2 linked regions of the Sus scrofa genome follow. The protein of the gene in region 1 interacts with the protein of each later gene in a biochemical or structural test. Links are inferred from orthologs where the notes say so. Each region holds a gene or a part of one and is shown on either strand. Other genes may lie near its edges.

Evidence for each region.
Region 2: the proteins of RALGDS (region 1) and RAP2A form a complex in vitro, tested with the Homo sapiens proteins (2 studies listed by BioGRID). The link is inferred for Sus scrofa from reciprocal best matches to the Homo sapiens genes RALGDS and RAP2A.

Annotation. Positions count from the first base shown.
Region 1 is NC_010443.5:272,797,079-272,801,401, reverse strand, and holds the start of RALGDS (ral guanine nucleotide dissociation stimulator), read left to right. Parts: upstream 1-1,415; 5' UTR 1,416-1,446; coding exon 1,447-1,629; intron 1,630-4,323. UniProt on the Homo sapiens protein: Functions as a guanine nucleotide exchange factor (GEF) activating either RalA or RalB GTPases and plays an important role in intracellular transport. Interacts and acts as an effector molecule for R-Ras, H-Ras, K-Ras, and Rap.
Region 2 is NC_010453.5:66,677,629-66,682,216, forward strand, and holds the start of RAP2A (ras-related protein Rap-2a), read left to right. Parts: upstream 1-1,533; 5' UTR 1,534-1,629; coding exon 1,630-1,943; intron 1,944-4,588. UniProt on the Homo sapiens protein: Small GTP-binding protein which cycles between a GDP-bound inactive and a GTP-bound active form. In its active form interacts with and regulates several effectors including MAP4K4, MINK1 and TNIK.

The sequences.
Region 1 (4,323 bases):
GTAGCTGAGCATCTGCCTGCATCATGCTCAGCCTGTGGTGTGTAATGGCACATGGCACGCGGGGACCTGCCCGTGAGTCAGCGTGGGGTGTTTGAGTTGTAATCGAGGTTTCCATCGACATCCTTGTATAGAAATCCGGGCTGGTCTCGTTAAAGGGCACGATCATTTTTCATGCCCTTAATGGAAATCGCCGAATTGTTTTCCATGCGTCTTTGCCAAGGCCTTGCCTGGTGCTTGATGGAGGACCACCTGGCAGGTGCTCAAGCCACCCAGGTGGGCACGTGAGTGGGAGGGAGCTGCTGGGGCCCCGCTGTCCATGGAGACCTGAGGCTTGGCACACAGTGGGTGCCCGAGATAGGCTTACGGAATGTGTAGTCCTGGACCTGCCTTCTCATTTGATGGACGGGAAGCGAGGCCCAGAGGTTTGGAACCCATGCTGGGGAGGTTGGTGGCATTGCCAGGGCTGCTAGCAGTGATCGCAGGCCTCTGTGAGGGCCATGGGCTGAGGCCAGGGCACTGTGTTGGTGTGAAAGAGCGGGCCTGTTCATTCAGTGGTCTACTCGTCCCCTCTCTGCTTCCTCCGCAGCCCTCAGCATCCCTGCCTTACCCTGACGAAGGCCCTGAGATCCTCAGCGCCCAAGTTACCAGTGCCTCCAGCTGACCCGGCCAATGGCAGGTGCTCGGCTGGCATGTGTCCCTCTCGATCCCTCACTCTTAAATGTTTGTAGGCCCCAACCTGGTGATGCCTGGCCTGGGCTCGTCCCTGTCACCCCCAAGACTGCCCCTCCTCCATGGCTTCCTTTCCGCCTGTCCCTCCTCGGAGCAGCCTTAGGGCTCGGAGAACGCTCGGAGGACCCGGTCACCGGTCCAGGACTCAGGAGCACACAGCCAGGCACAGGCACCTGTACATCAGTGACCCAGTGGGATCCTCTCGGATCCTCTGAGGCTCAGAGAGGTTAAGCAACTTGCCCGAGGCCACGGCGCTAGGGAGGGGCTTAAATGGAATTTGTAGGAGGAGGTGGGGACCCGCCGCTTGGCCGCTCATCAACACGTACGCAAGTCACACCCCTACACAACATGTGCGCTGCAGCAGCGCACACACCCACACAAAGTGCCAGACTGCGGTACCCACAGCCCCACCGCACTCGCTGCACGCGCACTCCCTGGGACGCCAACAGCCCGCACGCCCGCCGGGGCGCGCCCCTCCGGCGTCTCTGGCCCCGCCCCTTCAGCCCCGGCCCCGCCTCCCTGGCCCGGGCCCCGCCCCCTGCCCCGCCCCCGGGCTGACCTCAGCGAGGCCCGGCTGCCGGCGCAGAGCGCCAGGCTGCGCCGAGCCGCGCGGGCTGCCGCCGCTCCCGCCGCGCGCCGGGCGGGCCCCCGCGCCCGCGCCCGCGCCGCCTCGGGTCCCGCGGCCCGGCCGGCCGCCCCCGCCGCTGCGAGCCGTCCATGGTGCAGCGCATGTGGGCCGAGGCGGCTGGGCCTGCGGGCGGCGCCGAGCCGCTGTTTCCGGGCTCCCGGCGGAGCCGCAGCGTGTGGGACGCCGTGCGCCTGGAGGTGGGCGGCCCCGACAGCTGCCCGGTGGTGCTGCACAGCTTCACGCAGCTCGACCCCGACCTGCCGCGCCTGGAGGTGGGTGAGCCAGGCGGGCCCCGCGCTCCGCCGAGCGAGGAGTGGGTGGGGGCCCAGGCGTCCTTAGCGGGTCACCCACCTCCAGTGGTTGTGGTCCCCATCCCCTGGTCCAGGGGGTTGCGGGGGAGGGTCTTTCTGCAGAAATCCCCCTTCTTGCACCAAACCCAAGGCAGCCAGGTGGATGGATGTGGGGGCTGCCGCACAGCCGGCCCAACTGTTTAGGGACCAGAACCGGGTTTTCTGGCCCCCCTCTATCCGTCCCCAAGCCGAGGCGTGCCAGCCCCGCGCCCCTGCAGCCCAGGTAGATTCGTTCCCGCGGGCAGTCACTGTCTGGGTCTGAATTTCCCAACCGCGAGGCTGGGCCGTGTTTCATCTCTGCAGCAGCCCCGGGCCTTAGGGTGTGTGGCTTCGAAATGCAAGTGGTGAACTCGTTAGTGATTAGGGTGACAAATGCCTAGAATCCACAAAGGCCTTCCAGACAGCCCCTCCCTGGGGCCAGAAGTGGACGCGATGGTCAGGGCTGCCCGGAGGAGGGGAGACAGGCCTCCAACCTGGGAGCCAGGTGCCCAGGCAGGGAGGCTGGGACAAGGGCCTCTCAGGCCAAGGAGTGACTCACTTCTGCTTGATTAGAAAATGAATTTGTAAGGATTTGGGAGGATTCAGAAGGGGAAATGTGCTTATCATGAAGGGGGGTAGGGGTCATGGGTGAGGGCTGGATTCCTGTTTCTAGGGTGCTCTGGGCAGCAGGGGACCCAGTGGGCCCTGGGTCCTGGGGCACAGCCGGAGGGAGGAGGGGGAGGGGGCTGCCCTCCCCCCCCCCCACCTGACTGTGCACCTGACTCTGACTCTCTGCGGCCGAGGTAGCAGAATCCAGGGTCGGCGCTGGGACAGAGGCCGTTCCTGAGTCAGAGGGCTCTGTGCAGTTCCTCAGCCCCTGTGCTGGTTCGGGCCCCCTTGGCATCCCCCACCTCCATCTTTTTAGGGCCTGGCTCTTGTGCCTCTGTGTGTCTGTCCCCAGTACCTCGTCAGGGCCCGGATGCAGATTTGCCCAAGAACAAAGTGCATCTCCCTGCCCAGTGTGGGGGAAGCCAAGCGGTGGAGGGAGCTCTGGGCGGCCCAGCCTAGGACCTGGGGAGACCCTCTACTCCTGAGCTTCGTGGGCGGCCTGGCCGGCATATTCCCGGACCCTCATCCACCCAGAGCTCTGGTCTTCCTTGGCAGCTGGAACAGACCCCTGGGAGGATGGGGGGCCTGACACCAGCCCAGCGCTCATCTGACTCTCATTACGTCTGGCAGCTCCACGGGCTTTGTGTGCTGGAGGGTCCAGCCTGCGTGCTCACAGGGGCGGGCCGCTGGGCTGCTTCTCTCTGTCTTCCCTCTGCCCGCTCCCCCCCGCCCCCCGTACCTCTGCATCCCCAAGGAACCCGAGGGAGAAGCAGATCTGAGCCCGACCCCTGCCCGGGGCTCCGCCTTCTCTCCCCAGCTCTGCCTCTCCCTCTGTCTCCCCTTCTCCCTCCTGCTCTCCCTCCCTGGCCCCAGCGCTGAGATCCAGGCCGTGGCTGCTGATTAGAAATCAAAGGGGAAGCTTCTGGCTGCGACAGGAAAACCAGGGTCCTGGCAGGAGAGAAGGCCACTGCCGGAAACCGAACACAATGACCATTTACCATTGCCTGGGGGAGGGGGCGGGGAAGTCCCTGTCCCTCCTGCCAACAGCACCCCCCCATTCTGGGGCCGATTTCCTGGTCGCTGTAGCCTGCCAGAGCTGAAGCGGCTGCTGTGGTCCCTGTCGTGTCTGGAAACCACCAGGCAGTTTCTGTTTCCTTCACCCGTTCCTGTTTCCCTCCCAGGCCCCCACCCGGTCCTTCCCTCTCTGGGCCGCCAGATGTCCTTGCACATCTGGGCATCTGCTTGTCATCATATTTCTAAGCCAAGCCCCTGCTGACTCAGCTCAGCCCGCACAGTTCTGTGCTTTCTAGAGGTCACCAGGCCCCTGCCCCGAGCCAGGCAGGAGTCCCAGAGTCTGGAGCACCTCCTGGCTGCAGACACCACCCGCTCGCTCGCTCCAGCTGGCCTCGACCCACCCTCCCGAGTGGGTGCCAGCCTCACTTTATAGGAGACCGGAGCGCAGAGGAGTGAAGTCCCTCATCTGCATGTACACGCAACCAGGAGGATGCAGCCAGGATTTGAACCTGGGCTGTGTTCTCTGCTGGCGTCTACTGTGTGCAAGAGCCCCCGGGCAGCAAAGAAGCAGGGGGCCCAGCCGACAGTGAGGACGATGGAGCCTCTGTGCGGGGGACGGAACCAGGCCCCCGGCAGCCCAGAAGCCCCCATGGCGATGGATGGAGGGTAGGGGCGCTTATAGCCAGGGCCAGGTGGAAGTGCTTTGGGCCAGGAGACACTGGGGATAGCTTCAAGGAAGAAACAAGCCCCCGGCTGGACCCTAAGGTTTGAAATCCTAGCCAGTGCGAGCCAGCACTTTGTGGGAGGCCTTCCGCTAAGTAGCTTGCAAGCGTTCTGTGTTTTTGGTCAGATCAGCCATTGTCCATTTAACAGAGGACACGACCAAGGCACTGGAGCTTCCTTAAGTCACACAGTCTCATCGAGCGGGCAGAGGCGGGATTCCGACCCGGCAGTGTGCCTGCAAGCCCTGCACGCTGTGTGTGTGTGTGTGTGTGTGTGTGTCTGTGTGTCTGT
Region 2 (4,588 bases), on another chromosome or scaffold:
GACCCACGATTCAGCCCACATCACTCAGCACTATTTCCGGGTCCGTCATTTAGGCAGAATGCCACCGAGACGACGTTAAAAGCGAAACCCATGGTTCTCGCCTCCAACACATCTTGTTCCCTTGCCAACGTAGGGTGCAACGACCTGTCCCTCAATCACTGACCCCTCCCAAACCCACCAGCCCTACCCCGGGTCTCCATTCCACCCACCCTTGGGGGCAAGGGAGTCGCGATTTCTGGTTGGCTCAGCTCAAGTCTCCGCCATCCGCCAGCTCACCTGCGGTTGGTTGGCAGAGCGTGCGTGGGAGGTGGGAGGGCTGAGCCTGCAACTAGGCTTTCCCCCCATTGGCTGATGGATGGGCATCACGTGGTATGAAGTGGCTCTCTATTGGCCGAGAATGGTACCATGGGTCCAGAGGCGTGCACTGGTTGGCTGGAACGACTCCCAGCTTCCTACTAGGTGCCCCGGCTGGCTGTTGCTATGAGCTGTCCCCAGGCCTTCTGGCTGCGCCTGGGGCTTCGCTCTCCCAGTTTTCCAAGCGCCCGTAGCTGACAGGGCGTGGGAAGAGCTCGACTTCCAGCAGACGCTGAAGAAAGGCGGGGCTGGGGGGAGGTGGGCGGGACTCCCGGCGACGTCACCGGGCGTGGGCCCGGCTTCCGCATGGTCGCTGGCCTTTGCCGCCTCTGGCAGTGGGCAGGATGAGGGCCTGTCACTTTTCCCTCTGTGTCTTGACGCTTAAAACAAAGCTTCACTTCGGTTTTATGCTCGTCCTTTAAACAAAGCCTTTTTTCGTTATGTTTATACAGGACAAAACCAAAGCTCACAGGCTGGGTGGTGTCTAGCAAGGCCCTCCTGCCAAGGCCTCCTTTTGGACCTTGCCGGTGTCTTCTTGTCACTCCCCGCCTCAAGTTAAAACCTAGAGACTGCTCTGGCCCCGCCAACATCGCGTCTCTGCCAAATTCTGAACTTGGCGTGCTCAGGCCGAAGCGGTTCCCGTCGCGGGCAGAAGAACCGCGCGTGCTCAGTACGCAGGATCCGCAGGGTTCGACGCGGCTTGCGGGGTGGGGTGTTGTTGGGTGGCCCAGGTGGTTGTTTATCTAAGCGCGGGCCGAGGCTTCCGCACGGCGCAGAGCCTCCCGGGAGCGCGCGAGGCCGGTCGCCTAGGCGACGGGGGAGCAAGGGCGGGGCTGCGCCACCGGGTCCCGCCCCGGGCCGCCGGGCCCCGCCCCCAGCAGCGCTGCGGCTGGGGCTCGGGCGCGCGCTCCGGCGCCGAGGGGAGCGGCGGCGGCGGCGGCGGCGGCGGGCGGGGAGCTGGGCGTGGAGGCGCGAGGGGCGGGGCGGGCGGCACTGCAGGCCCGCGTTTCGGGCGGCTCCGGCGGCTCCCTGGCTCCCACTCCCTGCTCGCCCTCAGTGCCTGCCGGCGCCCGCGGGGCCGCATTGCCGCCGGCTCGGCCCATGCCCAGGGCTGCTGCTCCCTCCGCCGGCGCCCGGGGGGCCGCGGCGGCCGTGAGGTGGGGGCAGCCGCGGGACGCGGCGGGGCCGGCCGCCGGCGCAGGGTTGGGGGGCGCAGCGCGGCGGGCGTAGGTCTATGTCGCGGGCAGCGGCGGCGGCGGCGGCCGCGGAGGGACGATGCGCGAGTACAAAGTGGTGGTGCTGGGCTCGGGCGGGGTCGGCAAATCCGCCCTGACCGTGCAGTTCGTGACCGGCACCTTCATCGAGAAATACGACCCCACCATCGAGGACTTCTACCGCAAGGAGATCGAGGTGGACTCGTCGCCGTCGGTGCTGGAGATCCTGGACACGGCGGGCACCGAGCAGTTCGCGTCCATGCGGGACCTGTACATCAAGAACGGCCAGGGCTTCATCCTCGTCTATAGCCTCGTCAACCAGCAGAGCTTCCAGGACATCAAGCCCATGCGGGACCAGATCATCCGAGTGAAGCGGTGAGAGGGCCGGGGGCGCGGGCAAGGGGCTTCGCGGTGCGGCCGGCAGCCCCTGTCCCGGGGCCAGAACTCCCTCCCGCGTGCTCTGGGGTGGCTGTGGGCAGGAGGAGCTGTCTAGGCAGGTGGCTCTGGGGTCTTAGGCTTTATCCTAAATTTTTAGCTGGTAGCATCCTCCTCGTCATCTTGAATCTCAAATTTGAGTGCTTTGTTTCACAACTCAAATTTGGCATCCGGTGAACCCACAGCACAGCTCTTTGTCTCTTGGATATTATTAGTAGCGGTTGTGCAGAACCCCAAAGGAAACAAAGTTTAAAACTTGCAGTGGGGGGAGAGGGGCGGGTAGGTTTCTGCTGGGAGGAGGCAGCTGTGCAAGTATAGCGGAGACATTTTCAGACGGAACAACAAAAAACCTCCCTTTGCAGCATTTGACAGCAAAAATTGCTTACACAAATGTGGTAAAAATGTCAAGTCCAATGGAAAGAGATCTTTCTCATTTCATAGAAGATTGAATGGTGGCAAGGCGTTTTACAAAAATGAACTCTTCACTTAAGATGAAACTTTAGAGACAGGTTATCAAATTATTTGCAGACCTGGCTCTGTGGGATTGAGAGAGTATTAGTATGTAGGAGCGCGAATGTACTATCACATTAAAGAATGTGGCTTAACTTTTTTTTTTTAATCTAGCCACTTTACCCCTCAGAAACAAAAAGAAAGGGAAAAAAAGAGGCATTCTTAAAAATAGAATGAGTTTCTTCAAAGGTGTGACTCAAATATTAGCTAATTTAAAGTTAAAGCAGATAAGCTCTTTCCTGTTACAAACTCTTTTCGCAAGTGTGCATTTTGGAAATATAACAGCCTAATGGCTTCTGCTATTTGTTTTATATTTTTTCCTATAATTTCTAGCATCAAAAAATGCAATAGTATCTCAGTTCAGAGTTTTAGCAAATTTTTCTAATTACCATTTAATTACACATTACTGTTTTGTCTGATTCTTACTATTAGTTAATAATTGCCAATAATTTTGATTCAGCATAATTTTGCTTTTCTTTCCCAGTTGTACCAGTAACCCTAAATTTGTAGACAGTTGCAAAAGCTAGTTATAAGTGTTATCATAGACATAATCTCATTTTTAGTCAGTTTGAGTCTACTCATTTTGAAAGAGCAAATACCAAGTCAGGTGCACGCAAGCTTTGCTCAAAAATTCATTACAAGAGGCGGATTTTTAATGCCACATAGGAGATCAAAGGGGAGGTCCTCTCCCCTCCTCCTTTAACTCATTGAATATGCCCTTTAATAGCTAAACTAAAATTTCGTGTGTTATTTTATATGTTAGATTTCAAGCTGGAATACAGTGAATGTTTTCATGGCCTCTGACAATGTCCTAAGATCTGTGAATCTGACAGCTTTTTACTTTTTCAGTCTCATTTCTTAAAGTTAATTGCTATAGTTAACATAGGAACCCTTTTGGTGTTAAATTTATTAAGTATATGATATTTAAGAGGCTGTATTTAAATGACTCACATCTTTAATTCCCCTCATACTGTTTTAAAAAACAAAAAACCTTTAGAACAGGGCAATCTACCACATTGTCACATGTCAATCTTAGGCCAAGTACATACATCAAATAGTAAAGTAAACGCCCCAACTGCTCCACCCTTTGTATTTAAACATATCACAGATAATTCCTGCGTTGATAAAGTCACAAGCCCAGGGCAAACTTCTTGGCACAAACTTACAGGACAGAATATGACAGAATGTTATTGGATAGTATAGTCCACATGATTTTGTAGTTTACTAGAGGTTACCAAGAATGAGTTAGTCTGAACTTAGTGTGCTAGAACGATTTATTTGTTTGCACTGTGACCCAGGAAGAAAAAGAAGAATAAAATTCTCCTTGCCCAAATGTCATTGTACTCACTAGTCTCAGTTGCCGATGTGTACAGTTGAAAAGCTCAGCTGAAGTGGACTTCGTAAACTCTTTTCACTGGAATCATCCATTGTGCCCATAAGTACCAGTTGGGCCCTTTGTGTCCTGCTGTTTTTTATCTCACCTTAACTTCATCATCTGGCCTCCCATCCTATAGCACATTGTAAACAGCTTAACACTGAAGGAGAGAGGGAATCGGTGTGTATGACAGTATACATTATGCTAAGGCGGCATTCAGTATGATGGGTCTTTAACTTCTCCCACTCAAAGCGAATAAAACATGATTTTCAAACAAGCGGATTTTCCACTCTTTTGGGGAATGAATTTTTAAATTAATGAGTTGCCGCAGCAGGTATTCAGTACTTGTTCCCTGGCCTCTGCCAGCTAGCTGCTTTGCATACTCTATACAACAGTTGTTTGGGATTATTTAATATCACCATAATGCCAATGACATAAGCGAAGTGCAGAGAGGTTTGGTATTTTGCCCAAAACTAGTCCTTGATGGAGAAGAGATTTAAATCAAGATCTGCATGACTCCATGTGCTCTTTCTTCTACATGAGGCTGCCTTTGAACTTGACATTTACTGGCAAATTCAGTGATCTAGCCTTTGGTCTAGGGCAGCACTCTTCAGTACGAATATAGCGTGGGCCACGTGTAATTTTTAAATGTCCAAGAGCTGATTTTTTATAAATGTGAAGCAGGTGAAATTAATTTTAG